Linked DNA regions of Schizosaccharomyces pombe. Changing the gene in region 1 together with any one later gene gives a genetic interaction. Each region holds a gene or a part of one and is shown in the gene's direction. Other genes may lie near its edges. The genes, in order: rgf1, bgs4, mtl2 and art1.

What was found.
Region 2: of rgf1 (region 1) and bgs4, extra expression of one rescues a mutant of the other (dosage rescue), as found in Schizosaccharomyces pombe (one study listed by BioGRID).
Region 3: of rgf1 (region 1) and mtl2, extra expression of one rescues a mutant of the other (dosage rescue), as found in Schizosaccharomyces pombe (one study listed by BioGRID).
Region 4: of rgf1 (region 1) and art1, extra expression of one rescues a mutant of the other (dosage rescue), as found in Schizosaccharomyces pombe (one study listed by BioGRID).

Annotation. Positions count from the first base shown.
Region 1 is NC_003421.2:1,241,069-1,249,970, forward strand, and holds rgf1 (RhoGEF family guanine nucleotide exchange factor Rgf1), read left to right. Parts: upstream 1-4,117; 5' UTR 4,118-4,194; coding exon 4,195-6,876; intron 6,877-6,922; coding exon 6,923-8,245; 3' UTR 8,246-8,402; downstream 8,403-8,902. Other genes in the region: RhoGEF for Rho1, Rgf3, read right to left, coding at 1-2,144; tudor domain and nuclease, Snd1, read right to left, coding at 8,489-8,902. UniProt on the Schizosaccharomyces pombe protein: Stimulates the exchange of Rho1 and Rho5 GDP-bound form into GTP-bound form. Controls septum formation, cell wall synthesis and localization of F-actin patches. Coordinates actin deposition with cell wall biosynthesis during bipolar growth.
Region 2 is NC_003421.2:2,252,398-2,259,224, reverse strand, and holds the start of bgs4 (cell wall and secondary septum 1,6 branched 1,3-beta-glucan synthase catalytic subunit Bgs4), read left to right. Parts: upstream 1-2,572; 5' UTR 2,573-4,078; coding exon 4,079-6,827. Other genes in the region: SPOM_SPCC1840.13 (uncharacterized protein), read left to right, coding at 1,058-1,456.
Region 3 is NC_003424.3:3,956,575-3,964,511, forward strand, and holds mtl2 (protein Mtl2), read left to right. Parts: upstream 1-3,174; 5' UTR 3,175-3,323; coding exon 3,324-4,934; 3' UTR 4,935-6,340; downstream 6,341-7,937. Other genes in the region: SPOM_SPAC2F3.16 (ubiquitin-protein ligase E3), read left to right, coding at 569-868, 938-1,270, 1,326-1,430, 1,493-2,032; HECT-type ubiquitin-protein ligase E3 Pub1, read left to right, coding at 6,749-6,765, 6,817-6,839, 6,891-7,035, 7,178-7,937.
Region 4 is NC_003423.3:2,362,266-2,368,696, reverse strand, and holds art1 (arrestin-related substrate adaptor for RhoGEF, Art1), read left to right. Parts: upstream 1-2,883; 5' UTR 2,884-2,966; coding exon 2,967-4,418; 3' UTR 4,419-4,882; downstream 4,883-6,431. Other genes in the region: SUMO deconjugating enzyme Ulp1, read right to left, coding at 1-1,580; PPR repeat-containing protein Ppr3, read left to right, coding at 5,357-5,611, 5,694-6,431.

The DNA of each region.
Region 1 (8,902 bases):
AACAAGTGGATGTCCAACCAATCCAAGCGGGAATCACTTCTACGTTGAACTATTCCTTCAAAAAAGAACTCTCTTTCAGGATCCCTTAGCTCTAGATTGACACTTTCATGATTTTTAAACAGAAGTTGATACGATAGATCGCGAATACGATTGGCCTCAAGTACGGTAGCTATAACGGCATCACATTCCTCGCAAGTTGCTCTCAGTTCTTTGACAGCTTGAGTTATTAATTGAAAATCCCAGCTGGACTGCTCGGTATGCTTTAAAATTGTATCCAACTCAAGCGTGTATCTTTGTAAACGTTGAGTAGGTCTTTGCAAGAAATGCTGGAAATCCAACCGACGACATCTAGGATCTGATCGACAAGCAGCAAGCCAACGTGCAAAGTAAGTATTCCTTTGACATTCTAGCTTATAAGTTTCATCTGCTAAAGGGAACTGTTTGGCATAATTAATATAAGAGGATTTAGCAGCATGAATCCACTCTAGTAAGATATCACCAATAATTGAAACTACTGGGCCCTGGAGACGTTCCCTCATAATTAATTGTGGTAAGAACAGTCGAGAATGCAATTGTCTGATTGATTCAACATTTCCAAATACAGATTGAATAAAGTCAGCCACTCGATTGCTGGGAACAATCGCATCTTGCTGCTGCACAATTCCGTCCCTAAACAGTTCAGCTAGGGTATTTAAGTCTGCAACGTAATCAGATTCCTTACAAATAAGCTCGTGGATATTATTTTGCCTAGCAATCTCTCTTTTACTGAGAGAAGATGGTAATGAATTTAGAGAAGAAATGTTCCAGAAAATGCTCCAAGTATCGCTACTCTGTCCTGGCAGAGAAGTGAATTCAAGCGACGAGTTACGAGCACATCTACAGCTATAACATTGATATTTGGAAGGACATGATCTGGATCTACAAATGTAAGAGTAACAGCCGCCGTTGGTCAAAAATGGAAGTACTCCACTACCAGAAGGAGGTTCATTAGATGTGAAAGCAATTTGAAGCTTTTCAAGATTTATGACTTCCACAAGACCGTAATTAATCCAATCACCAAGGATGTTTTTCGCGATAATTTCAGCAATCAAAAATTCCATAGATGCAATGTGAATAGTAAATAGCGTAGCCATCACCTGAGCTACTTCTCGACGAGACACACCTTCGTGGACCAGGCCACCAAGAGCAGTAAACACTTCTTCTTTGCACCATTTGTATAATTTACCGACCAACCAAGGTTCTCTACAGCTGCTAAAAAGGGTTTCCGATTGAGCACGTCTGTGAGTTCGAGTTATCAAAGGAGAAGAAATTTTTCCAGATGCATAGTCTTGGACAGGTATCTTTGGTAGCTGTCTTGTAGAGGAAATATCAGATTTTAAACTATAAGGATTTGGGGGTGTTAGATATTCGACGGAAGGGCTTAAAGGCGACTGTGGACGAAGAGCGTCGCTCGAGTAAAGACGAATCGGACTAGGAGTGCGAGCCGGTGATCGAGTAGGTGATAAAGGAAGATATGGCTCTGGTGAGCAGGATAACGATATGTCATTGTATAGAGAGTAAAGACTAGTGGAGGATGTGGTGCTGTAAGGAGAAGAATGCGAAGAAACAGAAGAAGGAAGGGGTGGACGTGGTAAAGGATGCACTAAGGACCCACCAGGAGAAACAGGCGTTTCAGGTAATGGACGAAACGAATCTACAGTATTTTGTTTGTTTCCAGGAGATGTTAAAAAGGGGTCCGTGTCAAGCGGGTTGTTAGGACTGAAATCATCAAATAAGGCATTAGGAAATGAAGAGTAAGTAGTATAGGCTGCAGAATTTTGAGGTTCATTCGGCAATTGTCGATACGTTGTTCTTGATGGAGATGACTGAACCGTGTAAGACGCGACTCTACGAGAGTTAATGGATGCTGGATGTTGAGGAGGCGAATAAGAAAACCGATGGGGAGAATTATTCGAACGTTTAGAAAGAAAAGGAGGAGAAAAGAGTCTGGTGGTAGAAAAGTCGGAAAACGATAGACGTTTCTGAAAAGATGGTGGAGAAGAGGAATGAGGAGGATAAGTGTCCTCTGAAGAGTCTAAACAAATTCGGCTCTTTCCACCATGGTCTTTCGAGCTCCGATGAAAAAGTTCATTGGAGAGCTTCATAAAAGAAAAAGTGGTAGGGGGAACCACAATCACCAAAAATGACTAGGTCAAAAAAGAACTACAATAATATTTGAAGAATCAAGGCAAGCTAAGGCCAAATAGGAGTCAATTTCAATTGCAATCCAAGAAAGAGAAAGGTCAAAACTAAATGTTGCAGGATGGACAGTGCAACAAAAGAGAAAAGAGAGGTGAAAAAAGATAGAAAAAGGAATTGAGAAAGAAGAGTATAAAAAAAAAGAAAGAAATGCGAAGAGAAATTAATAAATGGAATAAAATAAGGGAAAATAAATTAAAATAGAACAAATTCAGTGTCAATGGAATTCAAAAAATGCAAACCAATCTCGTACGCCCTCAAAAAAAGCAATTTTATAGTAAGCCGGAATGAAAACGATTGATGCTTTCAAAGTTATGCGATGAACCAGAGAAACTCCCGTCCTCTATTAATAAAAGACTTTGACATAAAATTACGAATACAGAAAGAAAGAAAAAAAGAAAGAAAGAATTGTATCGCAATATCAATGCAACAGTCTGTTTATTCGGTTTGTGATGCCACAATAAAAGGGTTAGGGCGGAAGGAATAATATAGGATGATCTGATTGAAACAACCCAAAAAGGAAAGAAAGCTCCCAAGCGTTTCAGAGGAATCAAGTTTCGTAGGTTTATAGACAGAGAAAGAGAGAAAGCAAAAGCAGTATATTATGAAAGGTAATGACTTGATCAAAAAAACAACCTCTTCTAATGAAACGTTTGGGATAAATCAAAATCGATGCCTAAGAAAAGATTATAGGACTTTATGGTTTTTAAATATATGTGTAAATGTTAAATAACTTATAACCCACCACCAAGGGATCTTCGTGGACGGCGAGCGGAGTGGATAAGAAAATGGCTGGTTGTATGTTCGCGACGGAAGAACAAAATTGGTCTTTGACTAGCAAATTTTCCAAATTTAGATTACATGATTTAAACGATAAATAGGGCAAATAAAGTGTACAAAAAGATATTTGATCAATTTATATGATGTTGAGCACAAGCTGAATAGTAAACAATGCGAACGCAATTAAAATAAAATAAGTCAATACAGCATAGTCATAGAAATCGATCAATTGAGGTTATCCGGATTAAAGCTAATTATTTTAGATGATGTTTTTCATATTTGTAAATCGGTAATACAATTATGAGCTGGTCGGACAGAAAAAGTGAGCACATAAATTGCAGCAAGTAGAAAAGCAATAGGCAATATAAAGTAAAGGAGTTCATTCATGACTTCCCTTTTTATATAAGCGTTTTTTTTTTTAGTGGAAAGTCGACCAGGATGCAGTTGAATGTTGATATTAACTTTGTTAGGACTAGTGAAAATTCAGATTTGTACTTTTTTTTTAAGGAGTTCAAGACTTTTTTACTACATATTCAACATTGAAATCACCTTATCTATAGAAGAAGTAGATAAACTTAGCCCAAAACAGCATACTGATGACTTATAGCTTCTCATCCCTTCATAATATTAATGCGGTTTACTGCTGCTGTAACAATTCTTCTGATATATTAAGTATACGTATTTTTCCCTTCGAGGATAATCTTTTCTTAATATACCTGTTGCTCTCTCAAATTGCTAAGCAGACAAGTAAACAAATCAATTGTTTCATTGAACGAACCAGGACGGCTATATAAACTTATTATTATAATTTAAATCAAATTTTAAACATTCAACTCTGGAAACACTAACAAAAGCCTTTTTTTATGTCGCCTTTTAGCATGTGTTTCGAGTGGAAACCCTCCATGCAAAAGAAATTGAAGGTGAAAGCAATATACTAAAGCAAAACATTAATTCATCAAGCAATACGCAATTTACATATTAATGGTCTTTGATTTAGAAAATCGTATAAATTAGAATTTTTCATCATCTTACCGTTATAACGAGTTCGTAGCTACTTTCGCAGAAAGTTTGTGGTCAAATTATCTTGTCTTTTTCTCCACCACCAAACCCTCGTTTTCACGGGAAACATTCAGCATTGTCGATTCGATCGTCAAACTGATTGTTTTTATAGTAGCAATGGATTACCGGCATCCAAATGCACTCGGTGTGAATGAGAGCTCGCGTGCTTATGAGGAAATTTTTGGTGCTCCAAGAAAACGGGAGCCGGCGAGAACTGTAAGTACTCCTGCGTTCATGGAACCGGCTCCAGTCTCAAAAAAACCTCTTCCTCCTCCCACGCGAAGGCTTCCTCGGAAACCTTTGCCCTTTCGTTCCACGAGTTTGCAGCCTCCATCGTCTCAACCTCCTGCACCTCCAACTCATCAGAGAGAAGCATCTCCTGTGAAAAATATTGAGCACAGTGAATCTTTTCCTTCCGTTTTTGGTACTTCAAATAATCACCAGATCGTCCCATTGACTCTTAAAGACGGAAATGATTTTGGTGCTCTATATGCATCTTTAAACACCACACCCCATTTTCCTCAGGTATCGAATCATGCGCCCAATAACTCTAATTCCCCTTCTTTGACTTGGCACACATCATCCGGTGATGATTCCAACCAAAATCCTTTTTTCGTTCGGCGTCAGTCTCAGAGTAGCACGTCTCCGGTTTCGGATTCAGTAGATGAGAACCTCCTTTCAGCAGTCTCTTCTGTTACAGAGTCCGTAGAAACAAACCTTCATCTCGATCAAAATTATCCTTACGGCTCTCCTGTTCGTTCGTCTAAAAATCCCTTTCTCTCTTCAAATTCTCGATTACCAACTGATGATTCTTCTCACACTGTTGGTTCTCATTCATTTACTTCAGGAACTCACCCACCCATTGTTTCTTCTAATTCCGCCTTTACACTTCCCAATGCTGTTACTCCTGCAGCTCAAGCACCTCTCATACGTAGTGTTAGTGAATATCCTGCTAACGTTTCTCCACCTGCCCAGTCCCTTCAGCTACCAAAATCTACTAGCAATCCCGCGGATCTTCATTTAAGCATAGCTTCTGCTAGCAGCCATAAGAATATTTTTTCTGGGTTGGACGTCTTTTCTAATGTCTTTCATGGTCCCTCTACCACATTACGAGACAGAGAACATGATATGCGAAATCGCTCATTTGATCATTCTACCTTGGCTCATTATGAAGCAGTTAAGCAGCAGAGACTTGGTGTTGAACCTACTGCAAGGTCCTTTACGTTGAGCTCTTATAAGTCCCGTGCAAGTGGAAATTCCCTAATTAATGATCGAAGCTCTACAACAACGCCGACGTTTGTTAATTCGGAAGCTAGCTCGCCTGTTCATAAAAATAAACGAAGACGCAGAATATATGCTGCCTTACTTTCTCGTGTTGCCAGCGAATTGTTAGATAGACTACAGCTAGGTGATATCACGAAAGACGGTTTAATTTATTCTAATGCCTTTACTGGCGATCATGCAGTCACCGTGCTAATGGGTATTATACATACTTCTGATAGAAATCTCGCTTTACTTGTCGGACGCTCTTTAGATGCACAAAAATTTATTCATGATGTTACCTATGATCATCGTCTTCGTGATTCTCATCGTGAAATATATCAGCTTCAAGGTACTGGTTATCGCCCCTTCTTACGCGCAAATGATAATGCATCCATTAACAACAAAAACCATCATAAGGAATTGGAGGACAATGAGTCGGGCACTCGAATCTCACCGTCCACGTTAGGTGACACTTCTTTTCCAAATGGTATATTTACTTTATTGACGCATTGTTACTCTCCAACATGTGCAAAAGATCATCCCTGCTATTCTATTTCATGTCCTCGACGATTGGAACAGCAGCACAGACTATTTGCCAAAATGCGTGCAAACACTGAACAGTCTTCCTCCCTAGCGTTTGATGATAAGGAACAAAAATTGTGGATTCACAGCGTACCCCAGGAGATTGCTTATAGTGTCAGTGACCGGGAAAGAAAGCGTCAAGAAGTAATTTGTGAGGTTATCTATACTGAGCGAGATTTTGTTAAGGATTTGGAATATCTTCGGGATTATTGGATTAAACCACTATGGGCTTCATCTTGTATACCTGAACGAAAAAAAGAAAAATTTATTCGTACTGTGTTTTTAAATGCTTTAGAGGTTCAAGCAGTTAATTCTAAATTGGCTGAAGCTCTTACTAAAAGACAAAACTATAAACCCATTGTGGATAATATTGCGGATATATTTTTGGAGCACGTTCCAAAATTTGAGCCTTTCATACGATATGGTGCAGGCCAACTCTACGGAAAATACGAGTTTGAGAAGGAAAAGTCATCTAATCCTGCATTTGCTAAGTTTGTCAGTGACGTTGAACGTCTGAAAGAATCACGAAAGCTAGAGCTAAACGGCTATCTGACTAAACCAACTACCAGATTGGCTCGTTATCCATTACTTCTAGAAGCGGTATTAAAATATACTGATGAGGGTAACCCTGATAAACAAGACATTCCGAAGGTCATTAATATCGTTAGAGGATTTCTCTCACGTCTTAATGTTGAAAGCGGAAAAGCAGAAAATAAGTTTAACTTGTTTCATTTGAATCAACAGCTGGTCTTTAAACCTGGAGAACATTATGATTTACATCTGCTTGATGCGAACAGACAATTAATATTCAAAGGACCCTTGAAGAAAAGAAGTGCTGGTTCCACTTCTTCAGAGTCTGCGTCGGATGTTACTTTGTTTCTCTTTGACCATGCTTTGTTGATAGTAAAACCAAAGACTATTAATAAACGTGAATTATTGAAAGTTTTTCAAAGAGTATGTTTTTTCTATTCATTTAAATTGTTTTTTCTAACTAGTATAGCCTATTCCTCTATTACTTCTTCAACTATTCCTTGTTGATGATAATGGATTAAGAATCCCTTATTCAAGTAAGCAACAACTAGCAGCTGTATCAAAAGCAGCGAATGGGAAGCCACCTTCTAGATTTTATCCATTTAGCTTACAACTTTTGGGTCGTAGAGGGTACGAAATCACTCTTTATGCAACCACTGAAGTTAGTAGGGATAAGTGGTTAGAGCATATTGACAACCAACAAACATTGCTACAACATCGTAACCAGTGGTTTGAGTCTGTTACCATTTGCTCTAATTTCTTTGTTGGTGATAATAAAGTAAATGCGATAGGCGTTTATGATAGTGGTCGTCGACTTTTATATGGGACTGACACAGGTGTGTACGTCTCTCTTCGAAAAGCAAACAGCCCACTTCAATTCAAGCCTGTACGTGCGTTAAATATTCCCAACATTTCACAGCTTGAGGTTATTGAAGAGTATAGTTTATTGCTACTGCTTTCCGATAAGGTGTTATATTCGTATCCTTTGGAAATGATTGATGCGGATACTACTCAAGCCCCTAAAAAAGCAAGGAAAGTTTCTGGTCATACAACTTTCTTTCGCGTAGGAATTTGTCTGGGTAAAGTTCTTGTGTGTGCTGTCAAAAGTTCCGTCTTGAGTGCTACTATAAAGGTTTTTGAACCAGTCACTAATTACTCTAAAACACGGAACATGCCAAGCTTGAAAAAATTCCTTACTGTTAACCAAGACCCATTGAGGATTGTCAAAGAGCTTTATATACCCACGGAATCAACTTCGGTTCACTTCCTGAAGAATAAACTCTGTGTCGGATGTACGAGAGGTTTTGAGGTGGTCAGTCTCGATAACCTAGAGACGCAGTCTCTACTGGATCCAGCCGATACGTCTCTTGAATTTGTGGAGAAGAAAGAAAATGTTAAACCTATCGCTATCTATCGTATGAATGGCGGTGAATTTCTTTTATGCTATTCCCAATTTGCTTTTTACGTAAATCGAGATGGATGGCGTTCTCGTCCTACATGGTTTGTTGTTTGGGAAGGAAGTCCTCAAAACTTTGCCTTAAGTTATCCTTATATATTGGCTTTTGAACCCACTTTTATTGAAATCAGACATGTTGAAACCTCTGAATTGATCCATGTCATTTCCGGCAGAAACATCCGTTTGCTTGCTGATGGAAGAGGAAAGTTAGGGGACGGTGGTGAAATATTTTATGCGTGCGATCAACGTGGTGAAAATTGTGAGACAAGTGTTGTTTGTTCCCTTCGATTGACGAGTGCTGCTGCCCACGCCAAAGAGCAGCATGTAGACAAGTAATTTTGGTTTTTTTGAACTTAATTTTCACGTTTTATTTATAACGGTTAATTGGATATTGGTTTGTTCGGTTATCTTTTCTTTTCTTTTTTAAAAAAATAATTTAGGTGCATGAATTTTAATGATAAATAAGATTTTTTTAAAATATATACGTTAACAATATTTTAAAGTGAATAACTAGATATATTGTAGGCAAAAAGTACTAGCGAATATGATCAATGTTACTATACTAGAAGTAAAATATTTTTAGTCCTCATATTCTAGGGGATCACCATATACCCAGAAACCGATATGATTTAGACGTGCTTCTTGCTGATGCTCTTCTAGAATATTGAGGGATGCGGTATCTTTTTCAAAGTGAGATGTTTTTTTCTTGGGAATAACACTAGCCATGCCGAGCGCAACCAGTTGGGCATTAATACAGTCAGAAAAATCTGAACCATCACTAGGATTATACAAAGTTACAGAATACACGTTTCCTTCGTGTCCATCGACTTTAGCCACTAGACCTTTATTCATGGCTAGCTCCCTGAAAACGAGTCTTGCGTCTTCATAGTAATCAGAGCTGGGAGGAGGTAATTGAACGTAACTGAGACGAGCAAGTTGCGCTTGAGGCTTCAATTTAGTATAGGTATCTGGTAAAGAGGATATGTTTTTGAA
Region 2 (6,827 bases), 1.0 Mb from region 1:
CGGGAAACCAGAATTAGGATAGAATAAGATTAGTGTAGTATAGAATTAACAAGAAAGGTATGCATAAAGAGCATTAATAGAGGTTTATTAGAAAAATAAAGCGATAAAAAGGAAATGTAGTAGAGCAAGAGAAGTAAATTCTTTTAATTTTGAAATTTCCGCCAATGTATCGTCCAACCGACGCTGCTTGTTATACTACGCAGTTTGAATGTCTAGCGATTTCCATAAATCAACTTCTTTGAAAACATTCGCTAGCATTCAGGACGAAAGGCGATGTGTAAACAATGAGGAGACTTAACTTACCACCGCTAGTCTTAACTTCACTGGATAATGTTATAGAATAATGTTGTAGAAACCGGTATAGGAAACAGTGATTTTCCCAGGGTTGCTGTTATCTCGGATTCCCGTTTTACATTGCTTTTGGCAGGGAATTACGATAGCAAACCAACTAAAATTTCCTTTCCGTCTTTAAACCGAGACGCTATAGTACAATTGATTCGTTAAGTTCCCGATGGCGGGCGATTTCATGACGAGAAAAAAAATCGGTAATTCGTAGACTAGAAGAAAGAAACCATTTTCAAATAATATCGTTCTACTAGAATCGGAACATGCAACCGAATGAATTTGTTTTTTTAAAATATTTTTAACGTTACTTCAAATGTACGGTATGGAAACGTAATTGACAATTGGCGAAATAGACGAATTCAATTTAAGAGATTTGAATACATGGAGAGATTGAATGTATAGTATCTAATTAAGGAGAATTGATGAATTTTTTAGATTTTTTAATGTGATTCCGGTTCTTCGCTATAATTGCTTGCATTCCAAAATCCCCGTAGCATCCATTTCCATCAATGGTTTTTCAATTCCCGTACACGGTTATTTTTCCACCGCTCTGCATTGCGAGTTCTGTGGCAATACCCAATGTTCTACTAGGATATTCTATTAAACCACGCTATATCAAGGAACCAGGCCTTTCCATCTTCCCCATTCTATTCATAGGAATTTTGGCCGCTTCCCTAGTAGAAGGGACAGCCAAAAAAGAGCGAAATTTCAAATGGACTTTTATAGGATCTTGGTAATATGCATCCATGTATATACCAGGCTAGTTTTTGCGCCATTGAAAAAGGATTTAAAACTTTTACGCTTAATCAGCCTTTGCATTCCAATAATTCGACCTTTTTCTTTCCTCATTTACCCACCACCCAAATCTTTCTCCCCGCTCAACTCTATTCTTCCATCTATCTTACCCATTATTCCTTTTGCTATCTCATCTAGCCTGCTCTTTTCATATACTTTTCACGTTTTCTACCGTTTCCTTTTCCAGCCGCTATTATCGGTCCCATATGCCAATTCCAAACAAACCAATTGTTTACTCGTAGCGAGCTTTGTTTATTTACCCTATCGGAGCCCGTTACCGGTTGTCATAGAAATAATGGTACAGCGTTACTTGTAGATTCAGCTCTTCCCAATCAGTGGTGTAGCAAAGAGGATGATCAATGGTTACAACAAATTTCCCTTTGTTTACATTGTACATAACCGATTGTTTACATTTTGGTTTCTAGGTAGTAAGTCAAAGAAAAATGTTGCACCTCGAAGCTTTTTAGAAAAAAAAAGCGTAAAAGAACTATTAAAGAATTTTCCAATGACACATTGATTCCATTATATTCTATCCCATTCTTCTTATCTACTTTCTCTTCTGCCACCTTCTTGCTTCTTCCATCCCACACCATATCCAGTATTTTACATACGATTCTAGCAATATGGCAAGAAACCGTCACTAAAAATTTCACTATAGTGAAAACCGAAAAATTACACTTTCTATTGTAGGGTTAACTTAATTAATTTTAATTTATTTATTTTTTTTTTTTGCTCGAAAGCATGTGCATAGTAGGATTGTACGAAAATAGCAGCAGGATGTTTATTTATAAGTGTGCAAATTGAATGAAAAGACATTCCTAATGTTGGTAAACGTAATTCGTTCCGCTAATGCTGCTAAAGCGTAGAGGGTTTGAATAAAATACATTTAAATATTAGCTAGTTTTTCATGAAAGACGATCGATTTAAATAAAAAAATCTGATCTGTTTTTCTATTGCATATTTTTCTCTTGCTTAGATATTTTTTCTTTTTGATTATTCGACAACTTTACTTCCATCGTACTCATTTTTTATATCAAACAAATTTTAATTATTTACTTTCTTGTCTTTTTTTTGTAATTCACCCATTCAGTTTTTTAACTTTATAATTTTTTTTATTCATCTCAATAGCTCATGTTTTCTGCAGTCTCTTTCTTGCCTTCAACTATCCCTCCTTCTATTAATTGATACATATATTTTGCGAGCTGCTGGTATCAACATTAGGAATTACTTAGCAAGACCAACTACGCTGCTTATAAAAGGACCGGCTTGTCTTGATAAAAATTGCATCTGATTACTACTTCGATACTCCTCTCCATTGGGGTTTTTATGGCTTAGTAGTCACCCTTTTAAATATTAGTTTTTTAATAATATTTAAGTATTTTTATTGTGTTTCGTTAAGATTTATATGGTGGTCCTGCAACGTACGCCAGCCGTCTCTCCTGAACCAAACACTACCCTCCGCCAACAACACATCTCGAAAGTGTTTGCGTAGTCCTGAAGTTTGGTTGAAAACAAACGTCTATAGGATTCACATATCGGGAAAACTGTTTAACAATCCGTATTTTTAAATTATTCTCTTTTCTCCCGATTAAAGTCTCCTTCGTGTGAGGCAACTAGGCCTGCTTTTTTCAAGTTTCCTTTGAAAAAAGAGCAAGACCCCATTTGCCTTCTGGACTGCAACAAAAGTTTTTCCTTGATTGTGAAAACAAACAGGCATCGGTTTTTTTTTCCGACTTGTTTTTGCTTCATCGTTTTTTTTTCTCTACTTCTTCTTTTACCTCCCCGTTATTCAATTCTTATACCTTGTGGTAAAAAGAACTTTGACGGTCTTTTATTCGTTTCATATTGCTTTTGAGAGATTCAAAGTTTTCCTTTTTTCTCTTTTATTATTATTATTGCTAATTTCATATAATAACGATCATTTGCGGATACTCCTCGTTTATACCCACCAGCCTTTTTCTTCTCGCTTCTTTCCCGCTTTAAAAAAAATCTTTCCCCTCCCCTTCTTTTTGGAGTGCCCTTGAAGTTTTTTTATATCTAAATCAAAGAAAAAGACTGAGAGAAAGTTATCTTATCCCCAAGAATCAACAGCATCTAGTTCTTTTCTTAAAGTTCTGGCTTCTTCATTTCATCTGTTGAATCGACAGACATTGGTATTTAGGAGCTTTGTCCATTGAGCCTTCTTTACTTTGTCTTAATAGACGTACTGTTTGCAAAGGGTTTTATACAGTGATTTTAGCGTGAAAAAAATTAAGAGCTCTTCGGTTTTTTCCGAGTTTCAAAATTTATTGTATATTCCTTTCTCTTGTATTTTGGGTTCATCATTTGTGGCATTCTCCGTTTTACACGCATCTGTTAGTGCATTACTTTCTTGATATTTTATCGCATTGGAGTAGATTTTGTCTTACTTAAATTTTATTTCAAAGCTTTGGCAAATCATCTGCTTACCTTTATTTCCTTTCTTTCTTTTTCATTACAGTCTTTTACAGGGAATTCCTTCCTTTTTTTAGAAATTTTCTTTCGTTAATATCTACCCATATATCGCCATTTATAAACTTGACGCTTATCCACCCTTACATACGGTTATCGTCATTTCAACCTGTTAACGGAGTGAATTTCTTTTAGATAAGTCACTTTGATCATTCACGGAGTTTGCTTATCTTGTTTGTTGAAGCTTTTCTCTTTTAGTGTTTGTATTTCTATTTCTTTTCCTTTACTTTTCTGATATTTTATTCCATCCATTAATTGGTTCTTTTTTCATTTTGGCTTACAAGAGCGGATAAGCATTAAGTCATCAGTCCCTCTTTTCAGTTCCTATTGAAATTGTTCATTCTTTTCTTTTTTCTGTTCGTTATTCTTTAACTGGGAACTCCTTTCACCATATTTCTAATTAGTCCTCATTCCTCAATCTATTTACAAGTTTTAAGCATAGTAGAAAATGTCTGGAAATAATGAAAATGTTTCAGGTATTACTGGTCATGATGCTGTCTCGGATGATCAGTACGCTTACGATTCAGAGGTTTATGATGACCAAAATGCATACCAACGCCAGCCTGCTGATGCGTATTCCAATGAGGAGTTTTTGGATCAGGCTGACTACGATTCTATGTATGGAGAGGGTTACAATGGGTATGATTACCCTACTGGTGTAACTGAAAGTTATGGAGATGAATACACTCCTGTCGACACCGCCTCTTCAGGTATCAATCAATATTCCACTGAAAAAGGAAAATTTACTCGTCCTTCAGATGAATACGAGTCTGAGTATTCAGATTACAATGCTCAGCCCTCAGATGCCAACAATTTTTACAATTTGAGAGGCGATGGTAGATACAACGCTTATGATCCTAGTTCCGATTCGTTGGCTAACGTCTACAACAGTGTGCCTTACGGTAGCAGTCCGTATGATTTTAGCAACTCTTCTTTTGTTGGTAATTCGGGCTCAGGTACCCCATTGGATGGCGATAGTGGTTCATTCTATGCCGATAGCGCTAATCTCACAAATCGTGAGCCTTATCCTGCCTGGACTCCTGAAAACGAACTCCCTTTAACTAAGGAAGAGATTGAAGACATATTCATTGATCTAACCAATAAATTGGGTTTCCAACGCGATTCCATGCGTAATATGTATGATTTTTTTATGTGTCTTTTAGATTCTCGTGCTTCTCGCATGACTCCAGATCAAGCACTGCTTACGCTTCATGCCGATTATATTGGTAGTGATATTGCTAACTATAAAAAATGGTATTTTGCTTCTCAGATGGATCGGGAAGATGCAGTCGGTCTTGCTAATGTTGGCATTTATGGTGGTAAAGTTACTTCTATCAAAGAGAAAGGAAAGTTCTTTTCTCGAAACAAAAAAGCCCCTAAAGTTGTTAAGCCTCCAAGGAAGTCTCGCTTCAAGCGCAAGAAGAAAAAGGAGCAACCCGAGGAGGCGGAAGACGAATACATTGATGTTAATACCGATGATTCTTTAGAATCCGCCGAATATCGTTGGAGATCTCACATGCGCTCAATGACTCAATTCGAGCGTGCTCAACAAATTGCATTGTGGCTTTTGTTGTGGGGTGAGGCAAACAATGTTCGTTTCATGCCTGAGGTAATAGCCTTCCTTTTCAAATGTGCTTACGATTATATTATTTCACCTGAGGCACAAAACGTCACTGAACCAGTTCCTGAAGGATATTACTTGGATAATATTGTTTCCCCACTCTACCAATATATGCACGATCAGCAGTTTGAAATTATCAATGGGAAATATGTACGTCGGGAACGTCCACATGACCAGTTAATTGGATACGATGATATTAACCAACTTTTCTGGCATGCTGAGGGTATAGCACGTCTTATTTTTGAAGACGGCACTCGTCTTATTGATATTCCTGCTTCTGAGCGTTTTCATAGGCTTCCAGAAGTTCAATGGAATCGTGCTTTTTATAAAACTTATTATGAATCCCGTTCTTGGTTTCATCTTATTACCAATTTCAATCGTATTTGGGTCATCCACTTTGGTATGTTTTGGTATTTTACTGCTTTCAACTCTCCTACTCTTTACACAAAACCTTTCCATCAGCGCGATGGTCCCAAGCCAACAGGTGCTTCCCAATGGGCTGCTGTTGCTTGTACCTCTGTTGTTTCTTGTATTATCATGGCTGCTGCTTCTTTGTGTGAATATCTTTTTGTCCCCCGTCGTTTCCCTGGATCAAAACCCATTTGGAAGCGTTTATGTATCATTGTTTTAATCGCTATCATTAACTTGATTCCTATCGTCTATATCTTCGGTTTCTCAAGTAAGCATCAACAGCGTAGTGGTCGACGTATCGCTGTTGGTGTAGTTGCATTTTTGATGTCTATTGCTACATACGTCTACTTTTCTCTTGTACCTCTACAAAGTACATTTGGAAAATTGTCCGTGAAAGATTCTCGTAAATACTTGGCAAACAAGTATTTCACTTCAAATTTTGCACCATTAAAATTTGATAACCAAGCACTCTCTGTTATTATTTGGGTCTGTGTTTTCACATGCAAATTTGCTGAATCTTATTTCTTCCTTACCTTGTCTATCAGAGATCCTATTATTGTTTTGAGTACCATGCGACCTTATCTTTGCTCTATTTATTGGGCGGGTAGCAGATTATGTTTTGTCCAACCAAGGATCATTTTGGGTATCATGTATTTTACTGACTTGATTCTCTTCTTTTTGGATACGTACCTTTGGTATATTATTTTCAATACTATCTTCTCTGTTTTAAGATCATTCGTCTTAGGTATTTCGATCCTCACACCATGGAGAAATATCTTTAGCCGTATGCCCCAAAGAATTTATGGTAAAATTTTGGCCACGAATGACATGGAAATTAAGTACAAACCTAAAATTTTAATTTCACAAATTTGGAATGCGATTGTCATTTCTATGTATCGTGAACATTTACTTTCCATTGATCATGTACAACGTCTTCTGTATCATCAAGTTCCAGCTGAAGAAGGACGTAGGACTCTTAGAACCCCTACGTTTTTTGTCTCTCAGGACGATAATATTGTTCACACTACTTTCTTCCCTGCAAATTCAGAGGCAGAGCGTCGTCTTTCTTTCTTTGCACAATCTTTAGCTACTCCCATTCCAGAACCAGTACCTGTTGACAACATGCCTACTTTCACTGTATTGATTCCTCATTATGCTGAGAAAA
Region 3 (7,937 bases), on another chromosome or scaffold:
CTGGACAACTTTTTTTCATTTTTTGCTCTCTTTTTCTTCCGAAAAAGATGAAATAAGAACACTAATAGCTCATGATAATTAAATGTTCCACTGGTTTATTTGACTATTATAACTCTTTCACCTTTTAAGAACTTAGAAATCAAAGGCTTGAAGTCTTGAAATGAGCTTGGTACTGTGTACAAAAAAGATAAATTCAAAGGACTCGTATGAATTTATGATGTGGTTTTCTTTTAATCAGTCAACCGTAGTAATAATAATTTGTTTACATATACTTTTTAATAATGTTAAGGTGCAGATGTTCTCAAGAGCCTGCTCAAATATTTAGTAATGATGATTTAACAATTAAGAGAGCAAAAATTAAGTTACTATTTGAATGCGTAGCTTAAAATTGATCAAAGTATATCTACGGCTTTTACAATAGTGTGATGGCACGGATATCACATTCCGCATTGCACTGGACCACACTATAAGTCAACACTGAACTGATCGAGGAATAGGTAAGCATTCCCCTTCTCCTTTTGATCAAGAACCATCATTATAACAAAAAAAACAAACACAAAAAAAGTCGATGTCATTGTCGGAGTATCTTCGTGAATTCGCTGAGATTTTTGAGGAAGCTGCACAAGAATTAACCTCAATATTCGAACTACCTCCTGACCTGTTGAAAGATATTACTGAAGAGGATGTTGGGACTGATGACTCTTGTAATAAGAAATTCCTTGAAGTTCAAAAGCAAAAAGAAGATGAAGAAGATGAAGAAATATTGAAAGGAGTGGATTTAACGCAGCAAGATTCCGTACGTGAAAAAATCCACGAAATACAATCGATGTCGCAATTGAGTGAGAAGAGAAAGGCCTTACTTATGCAGGTAAGTACATGAAATTAATCATAAAAGTGAGATTTAAATGAAAATAAGATTACTAAACTGGCTTTGTAGAAAATGCTGATGTCTGGTTATTTAAAATATCGACGAACTCACAAGAAAGAATCTGATGAGAACCAATTGAGCTCATCTGATCTTGAAAAGACTTATTATGACAAAGAGCAAGAAATTTTAGGGTGTTCTCATTACATGCGCAATTGCAAGGTTCAGTGTTTCGATTGTCACGAGTGGTATACGTGCCGTCACTGTCACAACGATGCTTGTGATCATGTTTTAGAACGACCTGCCGTAGAAAACATGCTTTGCATGATATGTTCCAAGGTTCAACCAGCAGCTCAATATTGCAAATACTGTAAGAACTGTATGGGCCGATATTACTGCAATAAGGTATGTGATATTTTATTTGATACTTGTTCAATATCACTAATACATGACTTAACAGTGCAAACTTTGGGATGACGATCCGAATAAAAGTAGCTATCATTGTGATGATTGTGGTATTTGTCGAATAGGACGCGGTCTTGGCGATGATTATTTCCACTGCAAGGTAACTTTCGTGTACTTTTAGCACATGCTTTGCTTTTTAAACTCATATTCTAACAGCTGTAGACTTGTGGCCTTTGTTTACCTATTTCGGTTTTCAATACTCATCGTTGCATCGAAAGAAGTACGGATTGTAATTGCCCAATTTGTGGTGAATACATGTTTAACTCTCGCGAACGCGTAATCTTTTTAAGTTGCTCTCATCCGTTGCACCAGCGATGTCATGAAGAATATATAAGAACCAATTATCGTTGTCCTACTTGTTACAAAACGATCATTAATGTCAATTCATTGTTTCGAATTTTAGATATGGAAATTGAACGACAACCCATGCCTTATCCCTATAACACTTGGATTTCTACCATCCGTTGCAATGACTGTAACTCACGTTGTGATACGAAATACCATTTCTTGGGTCATAAATGTAATTCATGTCATTCTTACAATACTTGTATTTCATCAATTTACAAACCTTTGGATCACCCACAGGTGTCTATCCCTCGACTGGCAACCGCTGAGGATGCCGGTATGCGACGGCTAATGGGACATTCTTGGGACAACAGCGATGAAGACTTTAATATTTTCGGGATTCACAGTTTTATATAGATTTTCTAACTTTATGAACTTCCTAAACTGTTACGATTATCCTATATGTACTATTATTTTGGAAAAGTTGCTATTTTCATTCAATTCTTTGCAAGAATTACGAATTTTTAACGTTTACCCCAATTGTCTGATTATATTTATTCCCTTTTCTCGTCCTTTTGCATCTACTTCTTATATGGTTTTTTTTCTCAACAAGTCAAGCGATGGTATGAAGTAAATCGCTTAAATTTCCTCGATGAAGAGAATTTCTGTTTTAATTAATCTAAACTCATCTACTTTTGTGTGAAGCTATGGTGTCTTGAAACATTCGCAAACATAAGGACTTTGCTTCATGCAATTCTGGGCCTCTCTCAATATTTCAATTTCCTGTTATTATGACTTATATGTTATTTGTCTTGATTTTTTTTACGGCTGGCATTCATTAAATAAAGAGTTTATTGTCATTCCATATTCATCTAATCCTTCAGATTCCTTTTAAACTGACTTTTTGTCTAGAAGATGCGATCATTCGTCAAGTTACTGCAACTATTCTTGTTACTTTTCTATCTGTCGTTGTGATTCTTTAGCAGCATCCAACTACAAAATTTTTTTACCACACTTGCAGTTGTCTCTTAAGAGCAGGTTTAGTAACGTGGATGGGTTGTTAGTCGGAGTTACTAGTCAGATGAAGCGATAATACTAATTTTCTACTATATCAATTTAATTTGGCATGAATAAAATTTCAATACATTGTTACTATGTAAGGTGGTTAACTCAATTACCGCGTGGAAACGATAGTGTCAAATGCAGCCATATGTTTCAAGCCAGTAGTAAATGGCATCTACTGTTGCGGATGTTTAGTAATTTAAAATTAGGGAAATCTATATGAATATTGCAGTATGTGAAAACTGTGGTAGCTTTCTCATTAAGCGCAAGTTAACGGCGATCTCTTTTTATCCAGCCATTTGAAATGAATAATTTGCCTTAGTAAAATTTCACCTGGTTCGTAACTTTAAGGTTCTTTGCTAGAGCATTGATAGGTAACATATTGGTAAGGTGAAAAAAAGCCTCGAAACTAACTCGGAAAGAATCCCCACATTGAAAAGTGCATCACCCTTACCTATAGGCAAAGCCAAGCAGGACCGCGACATTTTCTCTTTACCGCTTACTCTTCACCGTGCTTTTAAGGGAATTCATCAAGATACATTGAAATTGGACGAGATCTTATTATTTTTCTAGAAAAAAAATCCAACGTTCTTTTAAAAACTTCAAAAAACCTTCTTTCTGTAAGGGAATTCGCACGCAAGAGAAAATGTCATTCACGAACAATACTTCAAGTGTGGACACTTCCCTCAGCTCATCTGCTTCTAGCAGTATTCCGGCAAGCAGCTCTTCTGCTGCTGCTAGTACGAGTTTGAGTAGCTCAAGCGTGATTCCTTCTAGTTCGAGCTCTATGCTTTCATCGTCTAGTGCTACTGCAATTAGTTCTTCATCATCGTCTTCACCTCTTTCATCCTCATCTTTTACTTCTCCTGCTTCTTCTTCTTTTATCACATCTTTGGTCTCATCAAGCAGCCAACAAAGCTCTAGTAGCAGTGCTTCATTGACCTCTAGTAGCAGTGCTACACTGACTTCCAGTAGCAGTGCTTCCCCGACCTCCAGTAGTTCGAGTCACGCGCTTAGCAGCAGCAGTAGTTCTCTTGTCGCTAGTAGTTCCTCCAGTGGGATGTCCAGTAGTTCCTTAAGCCATTCGTCTAGTGTCCCATCATCTAGTTCTTCCTACCACAGCTCTTCCATGACTACGAGCGGCTTGAGTTCTTCAGCCAGCATTGTCAGTAGTACGTATCGAGATGGACCCTCAATAATCACATTGGTCTCAACTTCTTACGTTTCTGAAGTGGTGACCCCCACTACTACTAATAATTGGAATTCCTCCAGTTCTTTCACTTCCAGCACTTCGTCTACGCCTATTAGCTCTTCTTATTCTTCCAGTGGCACTTTGCCCAGTAAATCTAACAAGTCAAGCAATCATGTCGGCGTAGTTGTTGGTTGTTCTGTTGCTATTCCTGTTGGTGTAGTTCTAATTTTGATTGGTTTAGGAATTTTTCTTTGGAAAAGGCATCAACGGTCCAAACGAATTAAGGCTGAGCGCATGCAAGAAGTCGAGGAATACGGATTTAACCCCAATCAACCCTCCAATTTCCGTAGCCCAAATCGTGCTCCCTCTACTAATAACAGGTATCGTGGCTGGAATGGAAGCCCAACACCTGCTGCTGGAAACAATACTAACGGACGGCCTGTTGCTCCTAGACCTTCTGCCGGCGCTGGCGGAGCCAATCCGCCTGCAGCTTCTCAGCCCGGCCTTTTGGGTGGCAGTAGTAATTCAGCTGGTCCAATTGCAGCTGCTACCGCTGCTGGTGTCGGTGCTGATGCTTCTGATGCAGCTAATACTGGTGGAAGCTTTACTCGTCCTCAAGGAGCCCGTATGGTTAGACCGATTGGAAATCCACCTGATCTTTCTGCTTCTAACGAAGCTGAAGCTACAATGCCTCCATCTAATGGAAGCAACTTTTCTGAAGGTTTGTCTGCATCTCCGTTTGAGTCAGGCCCTGCTGTTGGTGCCGCTGGAGCTGCGGCCGAAGCTGCAGAACACAGTGGTTCTGGTTCAGATTCCTATCCAGAAGGTCCTTTAGCTACGATTCCTGAAAGTGACAGTGAAAGCATGGCTAGTGATTTAGCTGGAGAATCCTCTTACGGCTCGAGGGCAGCTCTGTCTAGTCGATCTCAAAGCAATCTTCTTTCCCCAACAAGCACTGGTGCTTCTAACCAGCCCAATTATTCACCTTTTGCTGACAACCCATCAAGTAGCAACGTTTCTATTCCTCGGTCGTCATCGGAAGCTCGCAGGTTGAACCTGTTTTAAAGTATGCGCTTAAACACTTGTTGCGATAGATTTAAGCAAAAATTATTTGTTTACAATTTCTGGATATATCCGTCGCTTAAAATAAATGCGTTAGTTACGCTTGCCTTCAATTGATGGTAGAAAGTCTTGCGAAGAAAAGCTTGCTCATCACTTTTTCGTATAACAACTTTTTCTTTATTCGGCTTTTACCTTTGTTTTTTACGAAAATCTTAAGTAATCGATCTTTTCAATCTTATTGCTATCTCTTTGTTTTACCGTTACTCACTCATTTCCTTTTTGCTTGAACAGTTTTATGGTATTAGAAATTCACATTCTCATTGCAAAGCTTTGTTATTATTATGGGTTTCGCTTATACCATCTCATACAATCAATTGGTCCGTCGGTTTACTTTCTTTAAAAAAGGAGTTATTTAGCAAACTATTTATCCTTCTTTCAAACTTTCTTTTTAAACTTAACTATTTGCTTTTTCTCATGGCCCTCTTTTTTTAAGAAAATTTCGTTGCTTGCATTTCATTCAAAGTCTTAAATATGTCATCTGGTTCCTTAACTTATTGCTTTTAAATCGACTTCATCTTTTGACTGACTTTTGAATTTTTCTTTCAATTGTTTCACTGTAGTGAGATACAACCCTTAAAAAAGTCTCTTTGGTTTGTTTATTCTTATCCTTTTCTCATTTGCATTTCATTACTTATCAATCATTTCTGTTTCATTCGCCGTTTCGCTTTGTTTTTTCATTTGTACATTTCTTTACAGAATGGCGAATTCTTGTCAAATGCGACGGAAAGCCAATTTTCCTGAATAGTGTAAAACGAAATGAAACTTTTAACAGCTACCTGTTTTCCATCCCATGGTTTCTTGTTATTGAAAGTGGATAGCAAATAGTCTTTATGACCAGCCATTTCAATTTTACTTTCAGTCGCCTAACCAATCTCGTTATCTCATTTCTTTGAAATAAATGTACATACTGTACTTTTTCCTTTTCTTTTCCTTCCGTTCCTTTTTCACCGTCTCGTATATGTAATGGAGCGTCACGTTCCCTTCGCTGCACTTATCGCTCTTACTCTTTCGTCATGTTGAGGACCATCTAGCTCTACTTTCTCTCGTGTGGCTGGATGTTTACTTAACTTTGTTTTGGCCAGCATGCTCGACTACTGATAATTAAAAAATAAAAATTTTGAGCATTGTCTGTTTAAGAGTTGTTGCTAAGTTCTGGCTTTATTACTTTTATTCGCGGCACTCCGTTTGCCTTCTTGTATGTACCTTTTACAATTCTTCGTTTCCTCTCTTTCTTCTCAGTTCTAACTATCACTTGAACGCAAAGTGGTTAGATATACATTTTCCTCATTCTTTCGTATTAAATCAATTTATTAAATGCTTATAGCTTGCAAATCATACATTGTGCTGCATGATATTTACTTTCGTAGTTAACACGTAAAACGTATTTTCTGTACGCCAAAAAAGATAAAGAACAATTTGGTAATCGCGTTGTATATATATAAGGAAATGGGTTATAATGCGTTAAGGATCTAATCTGCAAGACCGATTAATTCTCCTTTCAGCCAACACCACGCGAAATCCGACGGATTTCAAAATTGTGCGCTGAAAGCACGAATTTGATTAAGGATTCCTTTTGTAGTTCTTTTTTATTTATTTCGTTCCCGAAAAAAGCGTTTTTGTATCAAATAGAAAGGATAAAACGGCCTTAATTGAAAGTTTTTTTTGCAAGCACAAATACTTGACTTTCTTTGGGAAATTGGCTTTTTTTTATTATCCAAAAGCAACGCTGGTTTGAAATTTTACCATCTTTTCCCCCTATGTCAAACTCAGCTCAGTAAGTAGTTCTTTAACTGCTATAAACACATTTGCTAACTTTTATGATTAGATCTCGTCGAATTCGAGTAACAAGTATGTGATGACATTATTCAAATGCCCTGTGCAAACGCTGACCCAAAATAGTTGTTGCTGCTGATGGCCTTTACAAACGAGATGTGTTTCGTTTTCCTGACCCGTTTGCGGTACTAACAGTGGATGGTGAGCAAACACATACCACAACTGCTATCAAAAAGACGTTAAACCCTTATTGGAATGAGACTTTTGAAGTGTAAGTGTATATCCCAGGTTTTGACCTTTCCAAGTAACTTTTATGTATATCAATTTTAGTTGGGGTTTCTTCCAGTTTATCCCTTATAATTTAGCTAATGTTAACTTTTTGATTAAAAACAATGTTTCTAACAATTCTTTAGTAATGTTACAGATAATAGCACCATTGCGATTCAGGTGTTCGATCAGAAAAAATTTAAGAAAAAAGGCCAAGGCTTTCTAGGAGTGATAAATCTTCGTGTTGGAGATGTGCTCGATCTCGCCATTGGAGGTGATGAAATGTTGACCCGCGATTTGAAAAAGTCAAATGAGAATACAGTAGTTCATGGCAAGATAATCATAAACTTATCAACGACTGCGCAGTCAACCTTACAGGTTCCATCCAGTGCAGCATCAGGTGCACGTACCCAACGTACTAGCATTACCAATGACCCGCAAAGCTCACAAAGTAGCAGTGTGTCTCGTAACCCTGCTTCCTCTCGTGCTGGTTCACCTACCCGCGACAACGCACCTGCTGCTTCCCCTGCTAGTTCAGAACCTCGCACATTTAGTTCATTTGAAGATCAATATGGGCGCCTTCCTCCTGGATGGGAAAGACGTACCGATAATCTTGGCCGAACTTATTATGTAGATCATAATACAAGAAGCACAACGTGGATTCGCCCCAACCTAAGTTCTGTTGCCGGAGCAGCCGCAGCCGAATTGCATAGTAGTGCATCGTCTGCGAATGTTACCGAAGGTGTTCAACCTTCCTCTAGCAATGCAGCTCGTCGTACAGAAGCTAGTGTTTTGACCTCTAACGCTACTACTGCTGGTTCAGGAGAGCTTCCACCGGGATGGGAGCAAAGGTATACACCAGAGGGTCGACCCTACTTTGTGGATCATAATACGCGAACTACTACT
Region 4 (6,431 bases), on another chromosome or scaffold:
CAATCATGTCCATTTCGTTGTCTTGGAGAATTGTCATCCATAAAATTTTCCCAATCTGACACGTCGACGGCACCTTTTGTTTCTGCAATATAATAGTCGCGCAACAAATCAAAAACTTTACCAGGGCTTCCGGCCAGCGAGTCCCAGTATTCAAATCGTTTCTTCGATTTGTTAATAACAGCCATACACCAGTGGACATCCAGATGTACTGGTATAAATACAGCATCCATATCTGCAATATTAACGCGTGCCTTTTTGGCCCATCTTCGAACACCCGCGTATCCACGGCGCTGCAAAGATGTATAAAAAAAAGTATTAAACCCATGTACCCGAGGTAAGGATGAATCAATTTTAGAGCGTTCCGAAATCAAATTCATGTAAAAATTAATTACCTCGTCATTTAACCATTGTCTATTCCGCAGAGTATGCAAGTCTTTAAGCGTGATTGGAATATTAAATTTGGTGATGATGGGTTCAGAAGAGGAAACAGAATTGCTTTGGTTTAAATATTTCAGTGCACGCTTTCGAGCATTATCAGGAAACTCAAGTTCCGGAATGAACTTGGGGCGAGTGGGGGGTGGAGATATTTCCAAACCTTTTAATTGTAAAAAGTCAACTTCGTTCCAATCTTGAAAAGATTCTGTTTGCTTTTCTTTCAAATCTCGAATTAGCAACAGTAATGATTTTTCATTTTGGATATCAGAAGTAACGATATTCCGCGCTGGTTGCTGATCAGATTGAACGAACCTAAAAGAGGCTTTCCGAGACGTTGAATCATGAGGACTTTTCTTTCTTAACGTAGCCGTAAAAGGAAGGTGTTTATATCTGGCGTGTTCGCTAACAACATCTAGCTGCTTGTCCGGTGTAACAATGTCAGAGTTTGGATTTGGAGAGGAGTTCGTAAAGTGCAGAGGAGAAGAAGAGAAAGGTGTAGGATTAAAAGAGTTTATTTCGTCAGCCTCAACGGAATTACCGTGGGATAATGTCGATGAAGTTGTTTCCTTAAAAACCGCAAGCTGTAACCGATTACTAACAGATAAATTTTTGGAAGACCGATGAGGTCGGGGGAAGTATCTCGAACGAGACACACGAAAGCTTGATGGAGATAATGCTTCGTCATGGATGTTTTGAGAATGCGTGTCAGAGGCAGGGGAAAATAGATTTTGAAGAGCAATGGGATCCAAAAATTTTTCATCCTTACTAGAATTTGTATATGAATGAGAAACGGTAGGTTTACTATTTCTGTCAAGAGTATTGTGAGAAGACATATCAGATTCGACCGTCACGTAACCACGTTCAGTCTTGGAATTTATGTGAGAAAACCGAGATTCAGGGGCTTTAGTAGAAGGCTCTAGTTTTGAATTTGTACTATTACTATTAGATGGTATCGCCTCGCCAGCGATGCGATCCAATTCAGAAATGGGAGTTTTTGTCAAAAAAAGTTTTGCATAAGTAACTGTACGAGAACAAATATTAACAAACGTGTTCAAAAATGTCTTTTTACGTTTCCTTTGATACTCTTCATATGTAATACAATCATCCTGACGCGTCCTTTTTGACGCATTGCGTTTTCCTATCATTCACGAGTGAATTGTAAAGGGTGAATCGCGAGAGGCTGTGACACACAACAACCTGGAAGGATGAGCGCGTTCTTGCTTACGTTGTGAAAATACCTCGTTATACGAGTATTGCGGTATTTACTGTAAACAAACTACTTTTTGTGTTTATATTACAATGTTTGGCTTTCGAGCCGCTAGCTTTGCTTGTAAGATTTTAAATTATGTTGCTTAACATGTAAGTGTCCGTTTATCTTTAGGGCCTACTGTGTTTGATTTCATTACACTAAAATCCTACTTCAATGTGGGCTATCACTACTTTTAGCCGTGAGAAGCTTACAAGTATATTAATGTAAATTAAATATCATATTGCTTTTATAAAATATACATTCATGACAGTACACTGTGTTACTCTTTTAAGCGTTTAATAAGTAAGTGGTAGCGTATCGCTACTAGTAAATTGTTTTAAGTTCTGATATATGCCCTGAAAATGAAAAGATAAATCGGAAAATGTGAGTTAGTTTTATACAAACCATTTAACACTTCCTGAAGGGATCTTTGAATGAACAGAAAGCCCTATATTCAGGTTATCCTTCAAACAATCATTATTTCCTAGATAGAAAAGAGTCGTACATCAGCAATGAATTTCCTCAATTATCGCCGGGGTTTTTTATCATACTACGGCTCATATAACTATCAAAAATTAGCATTACCAGTTGCTCTTGATTCTTGTTTTTCTCGATTTTGAATTTTTTGTTATGCATTGTCTGTTAACTATGCGTGAAATATCTGTTCTTTTAGAGATTCGTTTGATTTTTAGTAAAATAGTATTTACTTGCTTTATTTCCCTTTCTTCTGCTGCTCAATAATCTGATATCTTGCTATATTGTTTTCGTTTGAATTCAGTCTCTCTTCTATATTTCGTATATGTATGTTGCGATCAATCGTGTGTTATGGTTTCAAAAATTCAAAAATTCAAAAAAAAAGCCTTCTGCTGTAAGAATAAACATATTTTAGGCTTTCGTAAGTGAATTTTAAGTTGAAAATACCAATTTCAAAATTAGGCTATTAAAGTCATTTTAGTTTTTACTATTGTAATCAAAATGGAACTTTTTTACAACAGATACTAGCTTTAGATGCTTGGCTATCAATTGTAGGCTTTTGATTTTAATTCTATGGAATGGAAACAAAAGTACATTTTTTGGCCTAAAATTAGATTTTTATATAATAAAATATTATTAATTTCATTGCTATAAAAAGTCACTTAGCAGTGTTTAAGCGAGTGCTTAAAAGATTTTATTTAGCTATCTAGATCTGACATTGCTGCACTGAACCAACCTGTCTACCATTTGGTAGATTCAACTTCCCATAACCAGCACCAAGCCAGAGGAACTCACTAAATGTAAGAGCATGACATCCCCGTGTACGCTAATACGGCAATTTTCTCCTTTGGAGATACGTCCGTTACCACATTTGGATTTCCAAGCTGGATTTAATGGGATACCAACTTCAGCTCCAAGGTTGGTTGGTATCGTCCAAGTTCGAAGTAAAGAAATTCACCAACCTTTGGCTTTGGTTCAAATAACGTTAGAATTATGGAAAATTGAATCAGTGGTAATACCATCCTTGGGTATAAGTAATCACTTATCAGATAATAAGTGTCTGGCAAGGCAGGTTTTGTTTCCACTTCATTCCGAGCATCCTGAAAATAACATACCTCCTAATGATAATAATTATTCTATCAGCGATTTGTCTATCAAATCACCTCCACCCTCCCTTACTAGCGATTGGATAGTAGATTCTTATGCGTCTGATCAGGATAATCCTTCTGTTCATACTCATAACCGTACTACTCCACCTATCCCTCCACCTCATCTTCCTAATGCCTCTGGATCTTCGGTATATCAACCTCCTTACACTCCGTTTAGATCAGTATCCACCACATCTTCCTCTAATGACACATCTATCACTCCTTTTGGTGACCAAACTCCTATACTCTCTTCTTCTTCAGATCCTTACGCTACTCATAGGGTATGGTCAATGGACCTTCCCTTTGAAATCCCGTTTCCCGAAAATTCAGAAATTCCATCGACTTTTGAATTGAATCGGTCTGGTACAATATGCTCCACGAAATATGAACTACGTGCTCACATGAGTTTACTAGGGGTACCGGATATTACTACCACTGTACCAGTGTCACTCAGCAGGTATGATAATCTATCTTCTTGGGGGATGTATAATTCCCCTACTAATATTCGGCAAGTGAGTAGCGATGGTCGTGTTGTAGTAGAGGTATCAATACCCAAACTGTGTATTGGACCTTCGGATCTCGTCTCCGTCTTCGTTTCCATCATGCCTAATAATGGTTCTAAAATACGAGTACAGCAACTTTCTCTTTCCTTGGTTGAATACATCACGTTCATACATCCCTCTTCTTCAAGCCCAATAGTTCGTAAAAAGAAAGTATTACGTTACGAAGAAGATTTGGATGATATGAAACTTACATCGGAAGGTTTATCGAAAAGCCTTTCTAAACCTTTCCCCGACATTGATTTTGAAGATGCAAATATCACTGGATTCACGACCACCTCTGATCTTTACTCTGTACAATACATGCTAGTCATCAAAGTACAATTATATCGTGCTAGAAACATTGAAATAACAAACCCAATTATTGTTTCCCCAGTGGAACGATCACGAAGTCAAGCCTTACTTAATGAAATTCAAACCCGAGTCCTTGACGTTCGCCAAAGCCACGGAGGCGTTGTCCTCGAAGAAAACGTTAGGATTGTGCGAGCTTCAGATTTTTCCAAAAATAATATGTTTGCTTATTTGAATGATGACATTGTCCTGTTATCTTAGGAAGTTACATTTTTCAAGCTCAATCTGTGCTTTACTACAAATGTAAATCCCGATATTGTTGATCATAAGCCTTACCTCTGTATTTCCCTGTGTTTTTCGATATTTGCAAGCCTTTGGTTTGCAATTAAATACCCACTTTGTTTATTTATTTGTCCCTCGTTTTTTTGTTTGGTTTCAAAAGCTATGAGTAAAAATAATGGTCTTCTTGTTTTTGTTTTGTTTTAAAAAGTATTCCTGTTCTTCGACATCAAATCAATTTCTATTGAATATGTCTTCATTGTTTTATTTATTCACTAGATTTAGCAAGTGGGACTTTTGGTCACTATTTGGTTGCTTTTTTGTACAACTGACTATTTATTTTAAATTGTGTCAACAGTTTAAATCTCACTTTATTCAGAGTAGGTTTTAGTTTAATAAAAACAGCTTTAAACCTGCTTATATAATGTACTACTTTCCTTTTTTATGTGGTTTGAATATCACATCGGCTGCACTTATGTCGGCGTTTCCACTTTCATGTATGTGGCTTTGAAAGTAAAGATGTAGTAAGCATTTAAATCTGAGTAAGGCTTAATATATATAACGATTGCATTTTGTTATCTAATAGCCCAGTATACGGTTACACTCTTAAATCAGTTACAATTTTATTAGATATTAAGCTCATTGTGAGTAAAATTTTTCCACACCTCTTCCTTAAGTTTGTATAATCCATTCTTATAGTAGTATAACCAGAAGTAAAAGTTTAAAATATTAGCAATTAAATTTCTTTTGAGGAATGAAAATACGAGATCATTATCAAAGCGTTTAATACCCACTTAACTTTCCATCCACAAAATATACGTTTCAATCCAGGTATTAATATCTATATATTATTGACTACTTTATCAGGAAAAAAGATCAAACATCTTTAATTTTTGAGATTTCAGAAGCTACTGTACCTTATGCTAAACAAATGTTCTGGCTCTTTAACACTTTTAGCTGTTAGAAGATTTTGTGGTCCTTGCCGACGTTTACATTATCATAAAGATAACCCTAATAACATTAATATTGCTAAAAATCTCCTGAACAATAATATACAAGCTAGATGCTCAACAAATGAGGCATCTTGGAAGTTGGCACAGAAAGAATTAGATCTGAAAATACGTGAATACGAACAAAAGTTAAAGGATGTTAAGCTAAATGACATAAACAAAAAGGTAAAATATTTATTAAATAAAGGGTTTGAGTACAAAATAACACTGCTAAAAGATACTGTCTTGTTTACTAACGTTAGCATAGTCTCCCCTTAACATTCCTGATGAAGTTTGGACTAAATTTATATCAGAAGTTAACTCTTATGATAAGGAAAAAGAAAATCATTTATCTACAGGTAACCACGAATTGAGGAGAACAACTCCATTGAAAATTGGACCACTTCTACTTACGAGAATCGGGCTATTGAAATCTAAGAACACAGCCAGCAATAATTATTCAGTCGATCATATTGTTTCAAATCTAGCTAATGACAATACGTTGTTAAATCGTCAGGTTTCTACCGAAGAATGGAACAGTCATCTTCGCCATCTCTTAAACATTCCTAAATGCTTTTTAGGGGTTGATATTGTAGAAATAGTCAACTTTTTTAACTATCTTCCTCAAACTGTTATTTCAAAAAGTTCCCTAGAAATTTGGAAAGCTGTTGAAGAAAGTGGTATGAAAGTTATGCCTGATTTGCTTGTCTTGCTTATGGAATCCACCAACGCATCTGGCGATTTCCGTAAGACTGTCCAATTGTATCATTTGTATCAAAAATCAAATGCTCCTCCGAATGGTTTGGTGTATCAATCATATGCTATTGCACTTTCTTCCCTTGGTAAACACAAGGATTTAGTTGCACTCTATTCAGAACAAAAATCAGTCTCAATCACCCCATCAAAGGATTTCTTAAATGCCTGTATCAAGGCATTTTCTCGAACCAAAGAATTTACAAAGGCGTGGGAAGTTTTCAATTTTATGAAATTTACAGCAACTAGCATC